2 linked regions of the Drosophila melanogaster genome follow. The protein of the gene in region 2 purifies or fractionates together with the protein of the main gene of each other region. This does not show direct contact. Each region holds a gene or a part of one and is shown on either strand. Other genes may lie near its edges.

Region 1 (4,720 bases), on a different chromosome or scaffold from region 2:
AGAGAGACAGACGGTAAGAATTCGTTCCAAATCCCAAATTAGCCCTTCTCAGTTATCTGATGATTTATAATTCTATTTTCTGACATCTCTTATGAACCGTTGTGATTCAAATCAGTTATAACTAATTCTGACACATTCGACTCTCAACTAAATATAATTTTTACTTGTGGCCGTGACTTATGAGAACTCATCTATTACTTGCAGATCGGTCTTTCGATTTGGATTCGGAATATAAATGAGGTTATCAGCGTGAAATGGTAATTATTCTCTTCATTTATGAAAACTACTTAAAATTTCGTGATGAATGACCCTATCATCATCTTTCGACTGAAAATCATTTTGATGCTATACTAGTTTTCACTGAATTTTAAACGCTTTAAAAAAACCTGTTAAAAAGATTGTTACATTTGAATAACACAAATATATTTTAATTTCAGTTCATTGCAACGTCAATATCATGTATCAAACGTGGCTCACTAACACAGTGAAAAAGGTAATAATTCGGTTTAAGATAATAAAAAAATTTAGTTTAAATTTTATGTGTAAATTGGACAATTAATTGTGTTGTGATGAATGAAACTTACACCATCTTTCGACTGAAAAATGTTATGAAGCTATACGAGTTTTTACTGAAACCCCTTCATTTTATTATTTTTGTGTTTTATAAGTTTTTTAGAAAATCGGTTGCTGCTCTTTATAACCATTTAATTTTTGTCATTTTGCAGTGTTCAAGAAAACCACCTTTGATTGTCGCGTCATATGCCCAAACAAGGATCTCTCCTTTGAAAAGGTAAATTATACTCTAGAACGAAATAATATGTAAATGATGCTTTTAAAATTTCTGACATCTCTAATGAACCGTTGTGATTCAAATTTTTCTAATATAATTAACTGATCATTTTAAAATCGCTTAAACGATTGAGTTATATTTGAATAACTACTTATTTGTATTGTTTTTGATTTTTTTTTTTTTTTTACAGATGTGAAACATGCGTAGCAAAATGAATCCGTCAATGGTTCATTTATAAATTCCAATATCTAAAAAGGTTAGTACGAAAAGAGATTCTGTTTAGCGGAAATGAAGATTTCAATGATGATCACTTAAACCATTCACAGACACCATATAAAGGTCAAGCGCTGGCAATCTTCTTCAATATTCTTTTGGAGATAGAGCGTCTTGTTTGACTGGTTATGGGCCCTGGTTAAAAACTTGGCACTGAGCTTCATAATGCATTCTAGTATTAATGAAATTAGCCTGCGAAACCAAACTTATCGTTCCTGTTGTTATCTTTTCAGGTTGGCAACCTTGGATGAACACAATTTGTATCTTGTGGAATCACGAATAAATAAAATTCATATGTGTTCTTAAAAATCGTTTTTTACTAAGTTTGCTCGCTCCCGCAATGCTAGTTCCTGGTTCTGCTTGGCAATCATTCGCTCGCCCTTCGACTTCTTGCCTATGCCCAGCTTCGGCAATCCTCTATTTAGACCCTCGAGAAGGACGCACGCCTTGCACGGCTGCTGTGAGGAAACGAAGCCACATCGGGTGCATGTGCCACGCTCGGGCTTCTTTACCGTGTCCTTGAAGCGAAGCTGTTCGCCAGAGTAGATGATGTCCATTATAACCGATGGTCGCACTTTCTCCAAATCCTTGAGAAACGCTCGAGCGTGGCCGCGATACGCATTGGGGGCGAATACGCACTCCGTTGAGAAGTAGACCAGCTTTTTGTAGTGGGCGTACATCACGATTTCTTTCTCGTAGCTGTACTTGAGGGGCTTCACTCGGGGAATGGTATCCTCGCCCCCGCCGGTGCGGATGCTCGTGCAGCGTCGCAGGCGCGCCGTGTCCCCACGGAGCACGTTCATCAAGACAGTCTCCGCAATGTCATCTGCATTGTGGCCTGTGGCTATGCTATCAACGCCCAACAGCTTGGCCCCTCTATCCAAGGCCTGTCGGCGGAAGACGCCGCAAAATGTGCAGTTGTTAGAACGGCCGATCTGGGCAACAATGCGGTCCATGGTCCAGCCGTAGAGCTCCTCGTAGGACAGGATCTTTAGTGGCATCTGGTAGTCGTCACGGTTCTGTTTCACTGTCTCCAAACTGTCATCCCGATATCCAGTGATGCCTTCGTCTATGGAAAGGAGCACCAGTTCCAGACCGTAGTTATGGCGTTCGTTTAGCAGTTTTAATCTGTAGAACACTTGGATTAGAGAGGTGCGATGGGGGGAATGGTACGACATACACGTGCGCTAGGACCGTGGAGTCCTTGCCTCCACTGGCCGCTACGGCCACCTTCTCGCCACGTCGGAACAAGTTGCTGGAGGAGATTGTGTGATGGATCTCTGCCTCGAAGGCTGCGAAGAAGCACTCCTTGCACAGGGCATCGCCGGTTTTGGGTCGCTTTGGGCAAACAACATTATTAGGATTTATTAGGGGCTGTTTAACTTATGAACTACCTTCAAAGCAGCGCGATTTCCGCACTGCGACTTGCAGATAATGTGCATTTTTACTGACACTTAATTAGCACACAATTTAATTAACAGCTGTTGCACCTTATGCAGCAGTGACCAACACTGGCGTTATACAAAATCAAGTTACCCATCACTGTTTGTTTGGAATAGATGAAAAATAAATATAAATATTTACAATGAGCGCCGTAAAAGAGTCAAAAGCCTTGATCAAGGACATTCGGGAGACCATAAAGCTGGGCAAGCATGCGGAAGCCATACCCAAGTGCCAAGTGACGTCACCATAGAACATACCAGTTATGCATCATCCTAATGCCTTTATTGCAGCGCCTACTTAAATCGGAGCCTGAAAATGCTATGGGCTACTTGTTGCTTGGGGCAGCCTACCAGAATATCGACAAGGCGGAGGCGGCCAAAAACCTGAGGCAGTGCATCAAGTGCACGGATGGTCCGGCCCCTGCCGCGCTCCTCGGACTCGCCAACTGCGCGCCCAGCAACGAACTGCCTGAAATCTATGATCAGTTGGCTGACCTGCAACCGTAAGAATCTGCTCGTGACTCCCTGGTCATTATCCATACTCCATACTATCCATACTAGACTTTGTCATAAAAGGACTACTAAAGTGATCTTTACTTTACATTTTTAGAGAACAATCCTTGAACTATTGGGAAAAGCTTTTCAACTTGGCCTCTGACTCAAATGTGGCTCCTTTCTGCTTCACTGTACTTAAAAAGAGAGTGCAGGACACAGAGAATGGAAATTTTACGAAAATTCAGGAGTATCTGGGACGCATTTGGGTTTCAAACGACTTTGAAATTGCGCCCGAAGATACTCAGCTTGTAAGTTACCGTATAATTATTAATTTATTTATTAAAAATAATTTTGAAATATAAAGAATTATAATTGATATGAGCACTTTCATAGCTCAATTTCTTATTATAAATTAGTGCGTAATGACTAATTACACTTTTTTCAGTACAAAACGACTATGGAAGCTCTGCTGCAGAACTCTGAACCCAGTGCAAGGAGCGTGGTTTACAAGCGATACCTGAAGTGGCTTTACAAGAAGCAGGATTATGAGACTTGCGTGCGGCACGCCTGCAATATGACCGAGTCGCATCCCAAAGATGTCTATGGCTTCGAGTGGATATGCAAGACCTACTGCGAACACCACGAGCAATCCGAAATAGTTAGTTGGCAACAGGAGCTGAGGCATCCCATTCAGGTGTACGCTGAGCAGCTTCTGGAGCTTAATCCTAACTCTAACCTTGCTTTGTTGGTTAAAGCCCTGGATCTTTTCGCTGAGGGGCAGGTCGTCGCATCCAGGCAGTTGGCATTGCAGGCACAGAAAAGTCAACCTGCGTACAAAGTAACGCTGGAATTGCTGGCTCGTATCCACATGGAGCTGGGCGCATACAAGTTGGCCCTTCAGCTGTGGCAGGAAATTGGACAGGAAAACGACGCTTATGCTCTATGCTTATCGCACGAAAAAGGCGTTTCAAAACTAAGAGAAGCTGTCACGATTTTACAAACGCTTGAAAACTCCGAGGGCAATATTAAGTCTTTGGCTCGGTGAGCTTTTTATCAATAGTATTTGGTTTAATAAAATGCATAACAAGAGTTTATTTAATTTGCAGCTGCTACTTCAAGCTGGGCGAACTGCACTTGCTGAAAGATTTGCCCTTGGATGATCTGACCAAAGCAGAATTTGTTTTGTAAGTAGGAAATCCAAAAATTAAAGAAGTCAATCCACCTTTTCCATCTGCTATACTAGATCTCCATCTGAAGCTCTTCAAGAAATTGCTGACTGTAAGACTTTTGAGGCATACCTACTTTGTGGCAAGCTGCATATGGCGCTGAAAAACTATTCAGACGCTCTAAATTATGTGTTAAAGGCCACTCGACTGCGCCCACACTTTGCCGAGTGCTTTGACTATCTGGGCAAGCTGTACCCGCTGGCCACTGGGGACTTCTCACGAGCCCGCAAGTGCTACGAGAAGTGCATAAGCCTTAATCCCCTCGCTGAGGAAGCTGTGGATGCCTTGAGCTTTATCTACCAAGAACAGGGCGAGGAGGAACTGAACGAGACCCTGCTGCTGAACACATTGAGCCATTTGGGTAGCAATGAATCAATTCGATTGCAGTACAAGCTGGGTCTGCATTTCTCGCATGTGAAGAAGTGGGACAGTGTAAGCAATTGATTATCATTGATGAATCCGATTTAACACTTTTATTGCAGGCAATACAATGC
Region 2 (4,983 bases):
TATTGTTGATTAAACGAACTGAAAAAACTTCCTATGCATTGAACCATTGCGTCTTTCCTGGCGGCGTCTTCGATCCTATAGAAGATCAATCTGCGAAATGGATAACTTTTTTCAAATCCTTTGGGGTGACCGATGAACAATTAAAAATGTGTAGGCACAATCAGGATTCTCCAAGGCCTGAGTTTCTATCCGGTGGAGACCATATTTCAAGGGACATTGCACTGCGACTGACTGCGCTCAGGGAAACCTTTGAAGAGGTGGGCATCTTGATTTGCACAGAACAGGACGACATACAAAAATGGGATTCTAAATCGGGTCATCCTAGAACCGTGCTTCTCGAGTCAAGCGAACACTTCGAATGGCAACATCGGGTTCACAATGATGCCTCACAGTTTCTGGAACTCTTTCGGCATTATAAAGTCATTCCCAATATCTGGTCTCTTCAGGAATGGTCCATTTGGAGGACAGCAGCCACTGCCAATCGGAAATATGACACTGTTTATTATATCACCATGTTAGATAAGTACACCAGGAATATAAAGCTGCTTCTGGAACCGCACGAGGTGGCTTCGGCCCACTGGTTGAGTCCGATCGAGGCTTGGTCGAGCTCACAGAAAGCCATTATTTGGCTCCCGTTCATGCTGCTCTATGACATCGCTCGTCTGATGAACTTCTATAGCTTTCAGGAGCTTCTCAACTTCTCCCGCCAAAGGAGCTGCAATGGAAGCACAATGGTGCAGCCCGTCTACTATCGCTGCGATGACTGCATGTTTGGAGTTCTTCCTGGTGATGAGCTCTATCCCAAAGAACCAGGCGCTTGTACACAAACAATTATCTTGTCGGGATCGGTGGACGACCTTCATCGAAAGTCCAAGCAATACAATCGCTATATCGTCTACGACTTCCACAAGGTCGTACTGGCCTCCAATATACCGCCCTGCGATGGGCATCTGCCACTGCAGCCTCTTGTCAATAACAAGCTAGCCAAGTTGTAGTAAAAGAATATAGTTTTAATAGAAAATATATATATTTCCTCTTGCGCTACAACAAGTTACCACTATCCAACTCGGTCTGTATGGCGCGGCATGCGTGGCACAAACCGTCCTTGTTCTCCAATCGCTTCTTGGCCAAGCCCTCGAGATCTTGTCCGCTTTTGTACAGGCTCACGCCGGCCTCTGAAACAGATCTGGAGTACTCAATAGCCAGCAGAGTGTCGGATAGTTCGGAGTCCAGTGTAGATCGACAGTGAACACAAGAGGACTGCTCTGGATTGGAATTGACAGCTATTTTGTCGCCAGTTCGGAACACTGTGGATACTGTGGAGGCGAAGTTTTGCTGCAGATTGGCCACAAAGGCTGATGTAAGGTTCTGTAAGCTGGCAGTCTCACCATGCTCCATCCCATAACGTGAGCCTTTTTGAAAATGTGGCTTTAGACGCTGTGCATGTATGTAAAATTGAATCTCCTGCTCAGTTAGGTCCTTGAGAGGTCGCAGCAGCTTAACATCTCCAGACAGCCGATCGTCGAGGAGAGCCACATCCAAGGCGGCACTACCGCCACGACCTAGCGCTATTGCAGTCAGCAGCTGGGTGGCTAAGTCAACACTTATATTAGATTCAAAGACGTGAGTACATTGCAGACACTGAGCCACGGAGCAGATGAGGTTCTTGCGCTGTTGCTGGAGGTAATCCTGGCGAGCTGTCAGACTTCGCAGTTTTTGAAGCTTGTGGATAAGCTCATTGTTTGCGTTGAGGAAAGGACTATAATCCTTGATCCGCTGCAAGGAGCTGGGCAAGGCGCCCAGTTCAATCACATAGAAATCGAAGGGTGCGTATTGTGTTGATAATCTCTGCAGAGCTTCCAAGTCCACAGGATCGCGACCTTGCACTTGCTGCTCCTCCACGTAGACCACACGTGCGTTGCAATGGAGTCTTTTAAACGTGTTCTGTGTTTGCGCGAAGTGCAACATGTCGAGCAGAACGAGCGACTCTGCGGACCCGTCCAGGACAAGAAGCACCTCGGCGTTTCTGGGCAGAATCTTGGCGGCTCCCAGAGCTGCCCGAAACTTGTGCCTCGCATACGCTAGAAAGCATTCCCGGCACTCCGCAGTTCGGAAGTTGAGTTTGTAGAGCTCGCCGGAGTTTACATCGCATTTGCTGCAATTCCCTGGACTGAGGACGATTCCTAATGGTAGGGATTCCACTACCATGGCGTGGGCGGCACCCTCGTCTCCAAAATCATCTTCACCAATGCTGCACATGGCAATAATTTACGTCTAATCCACAACAAAAAGAATTTCGCAGATAAACGAAATGACCAGGGATGAATACGTTGTGAAATGAATGGATACAAAATAGCGGAATTCTAGACAAATGTCTTCTATCTATAATCTATCTATATAGATTATCTATATTTAGTGTCAAAATTAGACGGCAAGCTAGCGCTTTCTTATAATATAATATCGAATATAATATATCCAATATAATTTAAAAAAGCGTAAACCTTTAACTTATATTTTAAACTCATATATTACCTTTAGCTACGGTATAGTCTATAGCTGTCAACACTGTTTCGAGGGCATTCCGTTATCGAAGGCTATCGATATACCTGGCAATATATCGACTACGCAGCCTAGACTCGTCAAAAGCAACCTTGCAACAGGAAAAGTGCAGTGAAAAATATAAAAATAGCTGTTCAAACCACAATTTGTTGTACAAATCTTAATAATAAGTTAAATTTAAGCATTGAGGTATGTGTCTTTGGAGTTTGTGTTGAAAAATGGGCTCGAAAAACCCAAGAAATTTGGGCGCAAAAAACTGGGTGCTGCTAATACGTATGTATGTGAGTTCTGCGTGCCTGTGTGTTTGTGCGCGCTGTGTGTGTGCGTCGTGCTTGTACGCAAGCAAAAAGTATCGGGTAGCAAAATCGAGAAACTTTCTTATTGACGATAGCAGATGGGAAGAAGAAGCAATTAAAAGAAGGAAGGAAAAAGTACGACAAAAAGTAAAATAAACGCCGAAATCCAATTTCAGAGATTAAAAGCAGAAGCAACGGCGGTAACAGGAAGTAAGAAGTTCACCCAAATCGCAGGAGCACAGTCGCCAGAGCGACAGAGGTCATCTTAAAAATAATTTTTCGGGCGTGTTTGCCCCCCGAGCACGATTAACCCCCCACCCAGATTAGCGCAGACCAACGCAAGAAGCCCCCAACCAAAAAACAAAAACAACAGCAGCAGCAGCAAGCAGTAGAAACAACCCGCCTTAGCATGATTCTGGAGAATTCGGACAAGCTCAAGGATTGGCTGAGCGTGGTCCTGGAGCCACTGTAAGTTCTTGAAAGCCGCTATTTCATCGCTATCCCTGGAACTAACCCCGTCACATACCACCCTCCCACTTACAGCTGCGATGCGGACTCCTCGGCCTTGGCGCGATATGTCATCGCGCTGCTCAAGAAGGACAAATCGGATAAAGACCTTAAGCGGATCATGATCGAACAGCTCGATGTTTTCCTGTCCGAGGAGACGACACGTTTCGTTGAACGCCTCTTCGATGCCATTGCCAGCGAGGAATACCTGACGGTCCCTGCTGCCCCTCTAATAACAGCCTCTAGTGCATCCACCGCTGAGCTAACAGTCGACCAGGAACTGGCCCTGGTCATTGATGGGCCCCAGGACGACATCGAAGCGGTTTTGGTTGCCGATTCCCCTCCACCGCCTCCTAAAGATAATGTGATAAAACCCGATAGCAATCAGGTCAAGTTAGAGCAGGCCAGTCAAGATGCCAGGGAAGCTGAGGCCCTAGCTTTTATCAGCCAGGAAGCCGGCATTGCCATGCACGTCCCTACAGATGCCAAGCCAGCCTTTGATGTGAGTTTTAGTGGTAGCTTCGCCTTAGCTGTTTTGTTTATATTTCTAATTTATCCAGCAGCATAAAACCAAAGACTCCCACAATCAACAGTCAGCCTCCAACTACCAACACCATCATGTGCGCAGTGCCAGCCCACCGGGCAGAAGCAGCGGCGTCAGCGGAAGTGGAGGAGGTGGTCCCGGCGGAGCAGGTCTTGCGGCGGGTTATGCTGACAAGGAAAACCAGCCGCGCGACAGTCGACGACGACGTGCTTCCCTGCGATCCCGTTCCCGCTCTCGATCGCGTTCTAACGAGCGCGCTTTTCGGCGGTCCAGGTCACGCGACCGACGGGTGAACGAACGCGAGAAAACTCAACGACAATTCCGTAACAAATCTCCACCAGGCTCGCAGACCGACAATCGCCATCATGGTCGGCGCAACTTTGATCGCCGGCGCATCGGTGGCAACGCAGATGATCGTCCTCGATTTGGCAACAATAAGAGCCGGCGCTCTCACAGTCGGTCAATGTCACCGGAACGAAACGCGCGGCGCAACCAGAACTCCCCGGACCGAGTACAAACAGCCCAAGCTAACCTAATTCCCGCTCCAGTGGCGCCGCCAGCACCCGTTGAGCATCCGGCTTCCCATCCTCGTCAGCGCTGCCGGGACTTTGACGAGAAGGGCTATTGTGTCAGGGGTGAAACATGTCCCTGGGACCATGGCGTCAATCCGGTAGTGTTCGAGGGCATCAACAACACGTCCCTCATGATGTCAATGCGCGAGTACAATCCGGATGCGCCCGAAATATGGGCTAGGAGCGGAGGTCCGCCACCAGGAGCTGGTCAGGGACCAGTGCCTCCACCAACGCAACCAGGACAGACCACCATTAACCCCTTCAGCGGTAATGTGCGACCAACCACGCTAATGAGCGGCTCTGGGCCCAGTCCGATGGGCGTTCCGAATCCCGCTGACTACGCGCGCAATCCAGGCGCTCCGCCGCAGGCGGCCATGATGCCATTCCCTTTCAATCCCACTGCGGTTACCACTCCCTTGCAGCGGCAGCTGATACCTATTCCCGTGGTTGATGGCGCTCCCACGGGAGGCGTTGCTGAGGTTGGTAAGCGACGTTTCGAACTGGA

Evidence for each region.
Region 1: the proteins of Ctu2 (region 2) and Ctu1 purify together in Drosophila melanogaster (affinity purification with mass spectrometry, with the first as the bait; one large-scale study listed by BioGRID). This does not show direct contact.

What each region holds. Positions count from the first base shown.
Region 1 is NT_033778.4:9,095,946-9,100,665, forward strand, and holds Ctu1 (cytosolic thiouridylase subunit 1), read right to left. Parts: upstream 2,581-4,720; 5' UTR 2,506-2,580; coding exon 2,458-2,505; intron 2,402-2,457; coding exon 2,244-2,401; intron 2,192-2,243; coding exon 1,366-2,191; 3' UTR 986-1,365; downstream 1-985. Other genes in the region: CG8777 (uncharacterized protein), read left to right, coding at 2,649-2,741, 2,797-3,008, 3,116-3,308, 3,446-4,041, 4,107-4,184, 4,244-4,658, 4,709-4,720. UniProt on the Drosophila melanogaster protein: Plays a central role in 2-thiolation of mcm(5)S(2)U at tRNA wobble positions of tRNA(Lys), tRNA(Glu) and tRNA(Gln). Directly binds tRNAs and probably acts by catalyzing adenylation of tRNAs, an intermediate required for 2-thiolation.
Region 2 is NT_033779.5:19,490,635-19,495,617, forward strand, and holds Ctu2 (cytosolic thiouridylase subunit 2), read right to left. Parts: upstream 2,620-4,983; 5' UTR 2,533-2,619; intron 2,330-2,532; exon of another isoform or gene 2,275-2,329; 5' UTR 2,260-2,274; coding exon 1,042-2,259; 3' UTR 1,013-1,041; downstream 1-1,012. Other genes in the region: CG18094 (uncharacterized protein), read left to right, coding at 1-995; swm (second mitotic wave missing), read left to right, coding at 3,265-3,323, 3,399-3,864, 3,923-4,983. UniProt on the Drosophila melanogaster protein: Plays a central role in 2-thiolation of mcm(5)S(2)U at tRNA wobble positions of tRNA(Lys), tRNA(Glu) and tRNA(Gln). May act by forming a heterodimer with NCS6/CTU1 that ligates sulfur from thiocarboxylated URM1 onto the uridine of tRNAs at wobble position.